Caenorhabditis elegans: one gene and its partner. The protein of the gene in region 2 interacts with the protein of the main gene of each other region in a pairwise test. Each region holds a gene or a part of one and is shown on either strand. Other genes may lie near its edges.

Region 1 (6,095 bases), on a different chromosome or scaffold from region 2:
TTCTCCTTCGTCTGGAGCAGAGCTGCATCTTGAGCCATCTCATCCTTTCCCTCTTCAAGAAGCTTTTGAATCTCCGATGCATTCATTTTTTCGGTCTTTTCATCATGAACATGATCGATTTGATAGCTATACCATTTGGTTCCTTCTTGATGTTTAACTAGAATACCATCTTGTCCAAGAATTTTCTTGAATTGACGTTTCTGATTAGAGTTTTCCGGGTTCGCAGGTTTATGGGCCACCGGCTTGGCTGCTCCATTTTGTGCTTGCTTCTTCTTGTTCGTGTGCACGGCACCGCTCTCAAATTGAGCCATAATCTTTTCCGCCTGTAAAGAATAATTTTATTAATTAAAAATTCAAAAACAAAAAATCACTCACGCTAGCCAAATTATCTTCTTTCAGCTTCATCTTCTGTGCTTTTCCCAGCTTCTCCGTTGGCTGCTTCGGCTTTGGTTTCGCCGCCAGCTTCATTGGACGTTTTTTCAGCTTCATTACTGACAATGAATAATCTTAAATTGTTTAAAAATACAGTTTAATAAATATAGCACATTGACATAAAATAAATACTTAGAGAAAGTTAACTTGTTATGAAATTTTTGAAGCAGAAAACAAAATTTTGTTACAACTTTATACAAAAATATTTAAAAAATCGGGTGGAAAACATAATTTAGGCAAATATGAATTAAGAAACTCGTATATGGGACGTCTTTAAGAAGCGAGATTAACGAATGAAATCATATTGAAAGGATACATATCGAACGATCAATGAGAAGTGAAGAACTCCTTGGCAAATTGTTCAGAAGCAATGGTCACGTTGAAAACTGGATTAATTTCAGCAAGCATGTTAACATCACCACCAAGTATTTTCCCATCGCGAGCGAGAGAGTACTTCTGAGCAACTGATAATCCTGAGAGAACGTAGCATGTATGGTACAGGTCGACGGCTGAAAATTGAAGTCATTTTTAGTTATAAAAACTGGATCTTACGCTTGTCCGGCTTATCCTTGAATCCTCCATGTACTGATTGGCATCCAACAAGAATGTACTCTTCAAGCATTCGCGCCTCGAAAAGACCTTTCTCCAATGATCGGCCTTCTCGTTCCATTTCTCCGTCCAAAAGTGGGAAGATGGCACCTTGCCAGAAGCTGTAGCATCCATCAACAAGTTTATTTGTTCTTCCCTGGAAACCACCCTCAAATCGCATCTGCCGGCGCGTGGCCCAACGAAGGAGACCTTCCATATCAGCAAGACGGAATCTGGAAATCATCAGGATCAATGATCTTATTTCAAATTCTGAACTAACTTAATTGATATGATTTTATAAGAAAGAACATGTGGTGTTCACGTGATGGTCTGTCTCTTCTCATTTTCAAAGATAACAATAACTGACCTGTTTAACAGAACCAACGAGGCGACCGCGCAGAAAGTGTATCCTCCGTGTGCCTCTGTATACGGTTCTCCTCCGAAACCACCTTCAAAGCTCTGGCAGCTGATAATCCATTCGGCCACACCATTTGATATCTCATCCATAGGTAGGCCCACAATCTCGCATGTTGCTAGTGCACAGTAGGCGCTTCTCATATCGATCTGGAAATGTTCAATTTTCGATAGCTCAGAATTTTTATGATATCTCTGGCAAAAAAAACAACACTAGAGGCAATTCGTAGAGTGTGCAGCAAGGATCCTAAAGTTCTATGCAAGAGTACGTAGAAGTTTCACTCTGAGTAGGACTTCATCAAGTCTATGCAGGAGTTTCAGTACATTTAGAGCTTTTGAACCATTGCCAGAGATATTCATTAATAAATTATTACCTCTCCTCCCTCGTGCATATAAAATCCTCCGCTCTCATGCTTGCACTTCTTCAAAAAATTGAACAGTGTGACTCTGTTGATAGATCGTAGAGCTTCTTCTTTTTGTAGAGACACTAGGCACATGACAGCGGCATACGTTGGAGCCAAATGAGCCAATTGTCCTGGTCCTCCACCATAGCCACCTTCTGGATGTTCACAAGATTTAAGAAAAACAATAATGTTTTCGATAACATCGTTTGGAATTTCTGCGTCCAAAATTTTAAGTGCATTAACTCCCCAGTAGCACATCCATGAACGACTAGCGTCTAAGGTCTAAAAATTGTAATGTTAAAAACCACTTCTCACAAATCAAACTTACTGCGTAGCTCGACGGGCAGTTTTTGAGATATCTGAGCAAATACGAGGCATGTTTCTGACGGAAAATCGTCAATTCGGCGAGATCTTCGTCGCTTGTGGTCTTGAATGGTTCTAACACCAGTGAATTGTAGTTTTCGAAAAGCATTGTTTCAATACGTTTCTGAAATACTCATAATCGTACATGATAATTACATGGCGGGGTTACAAACCTGTTCAGTGCTTGAGTAGGTGAAATTATCATCGTCGTTACACTCATATTTCTCGTTGAACGAACGGAATGGGATCGAAGATGTCATCTCTGTTATAAAATACAATTTTTACAAAAAGAACACATTAGAAAACACACTTCTCTTGGGAAAACCTATCAAAAACATTTTTTTTCGTCGCGAAAATAAAAAAAAATCGGTGTGATAAACAAGGCGCGCGTGTTTAAAACGGAGTGTCGTTGTCCCCGTCTAATTTTTTCTTTTCTCATTTTTCTGAACACTCTTTTCTGATCAGGAATTCTGACGTTTTATCAGTCTGTGATAAAGTTTTTAATCAGTTATTGCAACAAAAACTCTACGAAAATCAGGCGAGTATGCAGAAAGATGATAAAGTTTTCTTGTAAATTAGCTTTTCATTCCATTTAAAATTTAATAACTTTACAATTTTATATTCTTTATTGTTGTTTGCAAATGTGTATTAAATATCTTATTTCTACGTTTTCTTACAAGTATAATTTTGTTTAAACTGAAAAATATTCAGGTAATGTCGAAGTTCCCGGTGCCGTTGAGAACGATTGGTGGGCTTCGTCCCTCGACAACAGCAGCTATTTCTGCCGCCAACATCGGTTTCACACAATCGAGTCGGGCCCTCAGCACCGGAGCTGCCGCCAAAAGCTCAGGACTTGTTGGACAAGTAGCTCGCCAATATCCAAATGCTGCAGCTTTCAGTATTAAACAAGTTCGCCTTTATAGCAGTGGTGAGACTTTTTTCCTATTTATATTTTCCAACTGGTTGTCCACTAATTCCTTTTTTCAGGAAATCTGCCAAAGCACAATCGGGTAGCTCTCCCAGCACTTTCTCCAACTATGGAACTCGGAACTGTTGTAAGCTGGCAGAAAAAAGAAGGAGATCAACTTAGTGAAGGAGATTTGCTCTGCGAGATTGAAACCGATAAGGCCACTATGGGATTCGAAACTCCGGAAGAAGGATATCTTGCCAAGATTCTCATCCAGGAAGGATCGAAGGATGTTCCAATTGGCAAGCTTCTCTGTATTATCGTCGACAACGAGGCTGACGTTGCTGCCTTCAAGGATTTCAAGGACGATGGTGCTTCATCTGGTGGATCCGCTCCAGCAGCCGAGAAAGCTCCAGAGCCAGCAAAACCAGCCGCTTCATCGCAACCATCTCCCCCAGCACAAATGTATCAAGCACCATCAGTTCCAAAGTCCGCACCAATTCCACACTCATCATCGGGAAGAGTTTCTGCTTCACCGTTCGCTAAGAAACTTGCTGCTGAAAATGGCCTTGACTTGAGCGGAGTTTCTGGAAGTGGACCAGGAGGACGTATTCTCGCTTCGGATCTTTCCCAGGCTCCAGCAAAGGGCGCTACTTCAACCACAACTCAAGCCGTATCTGGTCAAGATTATACCGATATTCCACTTTCGAACATGCGTAAGACAATTGCTAAGAGACTCACCGAAAGCAAATCAACGATTCCACATTATTATTTGACCAGCGAAATTCAATTGGATACACTTCTTCAGTGAGTTTTCTTAAATTATTAAAACAATAAACCCGAGTCTTCCTTTCCAAAAATTACCCTTATTCAGGGTTCGTGAAAAGCTCAACGGTCTTCTTGCAAAGGGAACATCGGGACAAGCCACTAAGATCTCAATCAATGACTTTATCATCAAAGCTTCTGCTCTTGCATGTCAACGAGTTCCAGAAGCCAACAGCTATTGGATGGACTCGTTCATTCGTGAGAATCATCACGTCGATGTTTCTGTAGCTGTCAGCACCCCAGCCGGTCTTATTACTCCAATTATCTTCAATGCTCACGCTAAGGGACTCGCCACGATTGCCTCAGAAATTGTAGAATTGGCGCAAAGAGCACGCGAAGGAAAATTGCAGCCTCATGAGTTCCAAGGAGGTACTTTCACCGTCTCGAACCTCGGAATGTTCGGATCTGTATCTGATTTCACCGCGATCATCAACCCACCACAATCATGCATTTTGGCTATCGGAGGAGCATCTGATAAGCTGGTCCCAGACGAGGCTGAAGGGTAAGAGTTTTTAGGAAATTTATCGAGTTATATAGTTTTTGTATTTCAGATATAAGAAGATTAAGACTATGAAGGTAACATTGTCATGCGATCACAGGACTGTTGATGGAGCTGTTGGAGCCGTCTGGCTTCGTCACTTCAAGGAGTTCCTCGAGAAGCCACACACGATGCTTCTCTAAACGATGGCTTTTTCATTGTTTCCCAATTCATCTCACCATCTTCCTCTACCCATTTTGACCCCCGAATTTACTCCGTAAAGTCTCGAAGTGATAGCGTATAACTAGGTCATAATTTTATTATTTCTTTCTTTCTTCACTACAGCCATTTTCGCTTTTATTTTTCTCATTTTTCATGGCATGTTTCCCAGTTAATCGTTTAATTTCTCCGGTAGTATGTGTAAGTGAATTATTAGAAGAAGTTTCCTTTAAAAAATGATTTATTATTTTTGTCTGTCATACAGAAATTTCAGAAACTCGTAGTGTGTTTGGAAAAGCCTAGCGGATCTTTAGTAATAGTGAGCAAAATGTTGAGAGACCCTAGGAAACAATATGCTTCAAGAAACGAATTCAATGACGACGACACAGTCCGCATGTTCTTGCGCAGAACGCCGTTAAGTATTGCTGATGGGATGGTGAAGCACAGAACTGACGCCACTGACTGCATCTTCCTTGAGGATCACGATCAGCGCATTCTGAAGATTCAAAAAGATTCGACAATATCCTAGATCTAGAAACATACGTCCGCCACCGAAAGCCGGCTGTGGCTGCTGGAATACATTTTGCCGCTGAGCAGCAAAACTGTTACTCTGTCCACGTCTTCTTGAAATGAACACATTTTGACGATTAAATGGAGATTGTGGCTGTTGAGCAACAATTCGCTGTCGTGGACGCTGTAAAATTGCAATTATAATATAGATCAGAGAGTAAAAGAAAATATAAAATACCGCAGGAATTGGTCGGAATGTTTGTTGGAACGTTGGTCTGGAAAAAATCAATATTACCGACATTACAATATGTGAAAAACGAACTGTTGTGTGAATGTAGCTTGTGTTGTCGGTGCAGCAGTCACTTGAGCATCTCCAGAAGATCCACGTTGGAAGCCATCTGAACAAGGCAACTAGGACTAGAACACAGGAAAATGAACGCGCTACCACGGAAACCGAAAAACTCAGACATCACTCAACATGCTAAATCAATCAAAAACTGAGCTTTCAAAATATGTTCCAAGAATTCAAAAAACACATTCATTCAACTCAATAATAATATCGTAGCTTCGAAATTTTCTGAAACGCGTTCTCAAAGGGACACAGATTTGTTCCGATGGGTCTTACCACGAATACAAATACAACAGAAATTGAAAAAAAAAATACTGAGATAAATACTGAAACATTATACCTTGCCGTAAAGATAATGCACCAGCGGGTCTCGAAACTATCAAACCTTCGCAGCTACAGTAACCCAAGAATTTAGTTTTTTTTTGTTGCAAAATTTGGCGAGTTTTTCATGATTTTTCAAGAAATTTATAGTTTTAACATTTATAAAATTAATTGAAAATTTAAATACAGAAGGGAGAAAATAGTAAAACGCTTGCGGGTACGGTGGCTACGAAGTTTCGATCGTGTCGAGAGAGGCCCCACGAAAAGGGGAGCAGAACGAAAAGG
Region 2 (5,745 bases):
AGGTAGGCATGAAAGGAATGTAGGCAAGTAAGTACGCATACAGGTAGGCATGCGGTGGGCAAGTAGGTAGGTAGGTAGGATAGGTACTTAGGTTGGCATGATCTAGGCAAGTCAGGCGAGAAGCATATAGTAGGCGAATAGTTAGGCAGGTATGAAGTAGGCGTGTAGAAACATATATAGGCATAAGGTTTGAGTGTAGGCAGGCAGGCATGACGTAGGCGTCGAACTGTTTCCGTTTACCTATGCTCATTCCAAATGACAAGTGAGATCTCCCAGCTTCATAGAAATTCAGATCATTCCATCAGTAGTATAATCCCCATTGACTCGTTTATTATAAAAACTCAGAGACCACTAATAAATAAGATGCAAATCTCATTTTAAAATGCTCTTTTTCATTCCGTTTTTTTTCTTTTGATTCGAAGGGAAATATAATTATGGAAATGGCCGAGAAATGTATATAGTGTTGTAAAGGAGCAACTTTGTCTTAAATATAGAATTTACAATTAATATTAATTTCGGTGGCCTGAGACAAAATGTGATTATGAAAATGTTGAGCTTTCAATTCTATTAGCGCTGCACACGTTTCCATTTTTAGAACTCATTAAAAATCTCAAAAGCATTGAGAAGAGATAGAGAAAAAAGAAAACATCATCATCATCATCAACACATCCTGTAGAGTGCTTTTAAAAGGAAAGAAGAGAGGAAGAAAAATGTGAAAAAGAAGCGTCGAGAGCAACTTGTTGAGTGAGTGAGGGGGGCACAGAAGGATCACATCCAATTAGGATTGAATGAATGCTGTCGTACACACAAGAAAGTGGAATGGAACGATGAGTAGAATAAAAAAAGAAAAATGATGGAAAGGGATGCACTTGGGACACATTGCCGAAAAAAAAACGAATCGTTGCTATAATGTTCTTCCGCTAGTCTTCATAGATCCCGTTGCCAGGTGACCTCGTCTCCAAAAACTTTCTTAAATTTCGAAATCGGAGAATGTGTACTCCACGAGAAGAAGAGTGTGCGAAAATTGCAAATTTTGCAACCTCCGCACGGTTATGAGAATGAGAGCTCAATGAACCTTGCGGAGGTTGCAAAATCTGCAAGTTCCGCACGGTTATGTGGGTGTGGCCAATACCATCGTTTTCTATTCTCAATTTCTGTTATTACGTGGTAGTCTAAAGATGAAAGTTTTCGGGTCTCACCACGCTGAAATTGGGTTACTGTAACTGGACCAATATTGTGCCATTTTTAATATTATATTCAAATTCTTGACAGCAATTTTCGATTAAATCTGAAAATTATGATACTATGCTACCCGTAAATGGAGACGAGTTACAGTAACTCGGCGTGGCGAGACCTAAGATTTTACGAAATTTTCCCAATTTTGACGTCTACGTAATAATTCCCTCTATCCCAAAATTTGTTTTGTAACAGTACGGAAATTGTAATTTCCGTACGGTTTTATGGGAATCACAGTTTGAAAGTTTCAGTTCAAAAATCAAAATCTCATCTTCTAAGAGGCGGGGCGAAAACACCAAATTTGACGCGCAAGTTTGACTACATCATCAGGTCGCCACTTCTGCTCCAGTCAGAACCAACCACATTTTCTGAAAATAAATTACATCCGGTTCGGTCCGAAAACTAATATTAAATACAATTTTCATTCAATTCATCATCTTTTGGTTTTTTTTCTTTCTCATTTTGACCAACCCGCAAATATTATACGACACAGGGGGCTATATAGTCGTGCGCGACGAAACATTTTTCTTTCCCAAAAAAGGAATGAATTCTCATTTTATTTGATGAAGAGGCGGGAAGAAGCTCTCCGAACGTTGTGCTCTGTGTGGTCAACAAAAAAAGGTCGACGACACAGAAAAGGAATTTAATTAAATGGGGGACCCCGTCGTCGTGCATTTCTCAATTTTCTCCGTTTTTTTTTGCAATTAAAACGAGGAGGAGTGAGAAGAAACGAGTGGTGCTCGTTGAAATTTGAAAACGAAAATTAGACGAGGGAGTAGGTCAAAGGGAAATAAAAACAAAAACATCTGAAATGTGTAATTAAATTTCTAGAATTTTTTAGAATTCAATATTTTATGGATAGGTATGTACTATAGGGGTCGGCGGTATTATACAGTAACCCATACACGAATTTCACTTTTTTCAGTGTCTAGTGTTGAAGAAAAAAAATCAAAGTTCAAACAGAAAATCGACTTCATCAAAATTACAAAACATCCGATCAGAGAAAAAAAATTTTCTCTTTATTTCCCGCAGAAAACCTCCCAGCAAACTTTCACCACAAAAACCCTATTTTAAACTCCCTCCATTTTCAAGTCCGCAATTGCGCGTAGCTTTGCGTGTTTTGTCGTTGCGGACTTTGATTTTTCAAACAAAAATGTTTTTTCTTGGAACTTTTCGAACCTGTTTTCCACTTTAAAAAAGCGGTATTTTTCAATTCTTTCTTTATTTTAAATTTGAAAAACTTGTTTATTGCTTAAATTTTTAATTAAAAAGCATTTTATTTCGAAATTCAGGCCATGTTCTCGCATCTTAACCAAAATACATCCGGAAGGCATAACTCAATGGATCTCAACAATTCTAGTATTTCAAAGTGAGTAATTTGTTTCTTATTTTGCAAAAAAAAAACCAGTTTTTAATACTAAAAATCTAATTTTAGCTTCGGGACACCAGTTGAACAGTCTACGCCGGCACTTCTTTTCGGAAAGCGAAAGGCAACTGTTCCATCTTCGTGTAAGTAAAGTTTATCTTAAGTTTTCTCAAAAATATGATAATTATTTAGACACCGCTAGCCCGCTCAACACTGCATCGGCACCATGTTCGGATATTTTCGCTGTTTCTGCACCGGCAGTGCCGCAGCATTTGAAGGATACACCGGGCTCTAAATCAGTTCATTGGTCTCCATCTTTGGTGCAATCTGGTGAAAAGTCGGCGGCACAAACACAGAATACACCTGCCAACTTGTCTTTCGGAGGAAATTCATCATTTTCGGCGCCGACAAAGCCAGCTCCTCAGTCGATTCAGACATCATCTTTCGGTGGTCAAGCGATGCATGGTTAGAATTTACATTTTTTCGCGAATATTTAAAATAAAATTGATTTTCAGCACCACCTCTTCGATCTCTTCGCGACAAAGTTGAACCAGCGAAAAAGATCTCCAGACGAAATACATTCACTGCCAGATCAACACCACTTTCCACTCCAATCACTCAACGAGTCACATCCAGGTTGGCTGAAGCAGAAGAACAACCAATGGAAGAAGAAGCCGACGCAGCTGATACCTGGGTCACTGTTTTTGGATTTCAGCCAAGCCAAGTGTCGATTTTGTTGAATTTATTCTCGCGGCACGGGGAAGTAGTTAGTCATCAGACTCCATCAAAAGGAAACTTCATACATATGCGCTATTCGTGTGTCACACACGCTCAACAAGCTATTTCTCGAAACGGAACTCTCCTCGATCAGGATACATTTATTGGAGTCGTTCAGTGCACAAATAAGGTAAGTAAAAAGGATATATTTATTTTTTATTTTAATTTTAAAATTTACAGGACGTGATCAACGGCTCAGCATCCGGAATTGTTGCTCGATCATCTAACATTGCTGCAGCTGCAAACCGATCTGCTTCCATGTATAACTCATTTGTGGAGAACGATATGGCCGATCAATCAGTTAATCACAATGAGAACAGTGTGCTCAACTCGTCGAATGTTTTTGATGCAAATAACTCGCTCAAGTATGATTAGAAATTTTTAGTAAAAAATTCATAAAAATCTAAATTTTATACTTGAATCTGCTAAAGCGAAGTTTGTAGTTTGTAGTCTAGCGCTACTCCACTTTGAAAATGTGAAAAAGAAAAAGTTAATTTTTCACAATTCAATTAATATTTCCACAAAAAATTGTTTATGTTTTCAGTTCTTCTCGTATTTCCGTCCGTTCTGGTGTCGGAATGAGACCATTGGCTGCCGATCAAAGAACAAACGTAAGCATTTCATTGATTCAATCCTTCTAACCAATTAAAAAAGATTTTACAGGGAACCCCATCGGTTCGCAAGGCACCTGACGGATTGCTCAACAAGTTCTGGAACACGATCGGACTCAACTAATCTTTTTGCTCATTGGAAATATCGCCCATTTTTCTGTTTTATTTCACCATTTTTTTCTTTTGTTGTGTATCCTTCTTTTTCGAATTTCTGAAAACAGTTTCGTTTCTCACGGTTTTTCGTTCTCAAAATAATTTTATTTATTTCGGTGTATTCTCAATTTTCGGACATTTTTCCTTCCCTTCTTCCCGTCCATTCCATTCCCATTCAAAACTGATTCTATGAATTGAAATGAAGAAAACTCATATTTTTATATTGTCGATTATAGAAGACGAGTTGCTAATACTCGAAAAAAATATTTTTTCAAAAAATGAGGCTTTATTGACTGAAAAACATCGATTAAACAAATTCACTTCTATGAGTTTAAAGAAGGGCGCATTATTGCAGAATGGTCTCGGCACGAATGACATTGAAAATTGTGTGTGGGTGTGTGCCTTTAAAAATACTGTAGAGATTCTTTTATCGATTTTTCTCATTTTCTTCAATTTTTAATTTCAGAAAATTATTTACAATCGATGAAGTTTTTTTTAAATTTAATTTTTTTTATAAAATTTAATTTTAAAAAACCCGTTAAAAAAAAATTATTCAAATAATTCTTTCAGTTCCCAATGAATCTTCCCCCAGACGCCCTCCACGAAAATGTGTACGCATTTGCTCTTGCACGAGATCAAGTCGAATCATATTGTAATCAATGCCTTACGAGTATGGCAGAACTCAAAAAGTGCAGCGCCTGCCGACGGCTTGCTTATTGCTCACAAGAATGTCAAAGAGCTGACTGGAAGCTGCATAAAGTGGAGTGTAAAGCTATTAAAGTAGGAGATTTCATGGTTATATTACAATTTATTTCTAATATTTTCATATTTCAGACTCATAATGAAGTTGCGAACGACTCGATTCGACTCGTAATGAGAATTGCCGGAAAGTTGAGCAGAAACGAAGATGGAGAAATAGAAGCCTACTATATTCCGGGTGTTGCTCGCAATTTTCAAAATCTCGAGCATCATCCATCATCATATGACGCCGATGAAGAGTCTTTTGTAAAAGAATACTTTCAATTTGCGATAGCTCCCCATCCAGATCGAGATTTGATCAAATTGATATTCCAAAAAGTTTCGATAAATAGTTTTGTAGTTGGAAACTCCACGGGAAATCCAATCGGTGTTGGATTGTGCATTAAGCTGAGCGCAGCTAATCATTCCTGCAAACCATTGACTCGAGTTTGTTATAGGTAAATGCCATGAAATTTTTAGATTTTTAGGTTTTTGCCGACCGGCGCCGGTCTCGCCACGACAAGTTTCGGTTAAATTCAATTTTTCGTAGTTTCTAGGTATAAAATATAGTTATTTAATGTTTTTTAAACTTTTATAAAACGATAAAAAAACATAACAAATCGTGAGAGAAACTATGAAAATCCAATTTTACAGAAATCGTACCGCAATGCTGGTTCCAGTTTCAAGTGAACTTCCTTCAACACTGGAAGGTGCTTGTCATTCTTATATAGACGAACTAATGCCAAGAGATATGAGAAGAGATACATTAAAAGTAGGAGATTACAGGAGGTTCAACACACCCTGAAAAAAACCTCAAAATTTCCAGAAAAAATACAAATTCCTGTGCCAATGTGATGGTTGTCT

The links. Proteins that work in one complex are often made in the same cells at the same time.
Region 1: the proteins of npp-19 (region 2) and dlat-1 interact in a two-hybrid assay, tested with the Caenorhabditis elegans proteins (one large-scale study listed by BioGRID).

The regions. Positions count from the first base shown.
Region 1 is NC_003283.11:14,444,108-14,450,202, reverse strand, and holds dlat-1 (Dihydrolipoyllysine-residue acetyltransferase component of pyruvate dehydrogenase complex, mitochondrial), read left to right. Parts: upstream 1-2,912; 5' UTR 2,913-2,915; coding exon 2,916-3,129; intron 3,130-3,188; coding exon 3,189-3,915; intron 3,916-3,982; coding exon 3,983-4,435; intron 4,436-4,484; coding exon 4,485-4,614; 3' UTR 4,615-4,880; downstream 4,881-6,095. Other genes in the region: F23B12.7 (uncharacterized protein), read right to left, coding at 1-323, 376-489; fntb-1 (Protein farnesyltransferase subunit beta), read right to left, coding at 760-941, 985-1,253, 1,388-1,584, 1,809-2,120, 2,167-2,325, 2,375-2,461; F23B12.4 (ShKT domain-containing protein), read right to left, coding at 5,002-5,126, 5,174-5,324, 5,379-5,415, 5,463-5,538. UniProt on the Caenorhabditis elegans protein: The pyruvate dehydrogenase complex catalyzes the overall conversion of pyruvate to acetyl-CoA and CO(2).
Region 2 is NC_003280.10:10,795,263-10,801,007, reverse strand, and holds npp-19 (Nucleoporin NUP35), read left to right. Parts: upstream 1-2,528; 5' UTR 2,529-2,531; coding exon 2,532-2,605; intron 2,606-2,671; coding exon 2,672-2,745; intron 2,746-2,794; coding exon 2,795-3,067; intron 3,068-3,117; coding exon 3,118-3,509; intron 3,510-3,559; coding exon 3,560-3,744; intron 3,745-3,923; coding exon 3,924-3,990; intron 3,991-4,033; coding exon 4,034-4,114; 3' UTR 4,115-4,355; downstream 4,356-5,745. Other genes in the region: set-14 (SET domain-containing protein 14), read left to right, coding at 4,720-4,923, 4,978-5,339, 5,536-5,653, 5,708-5,745.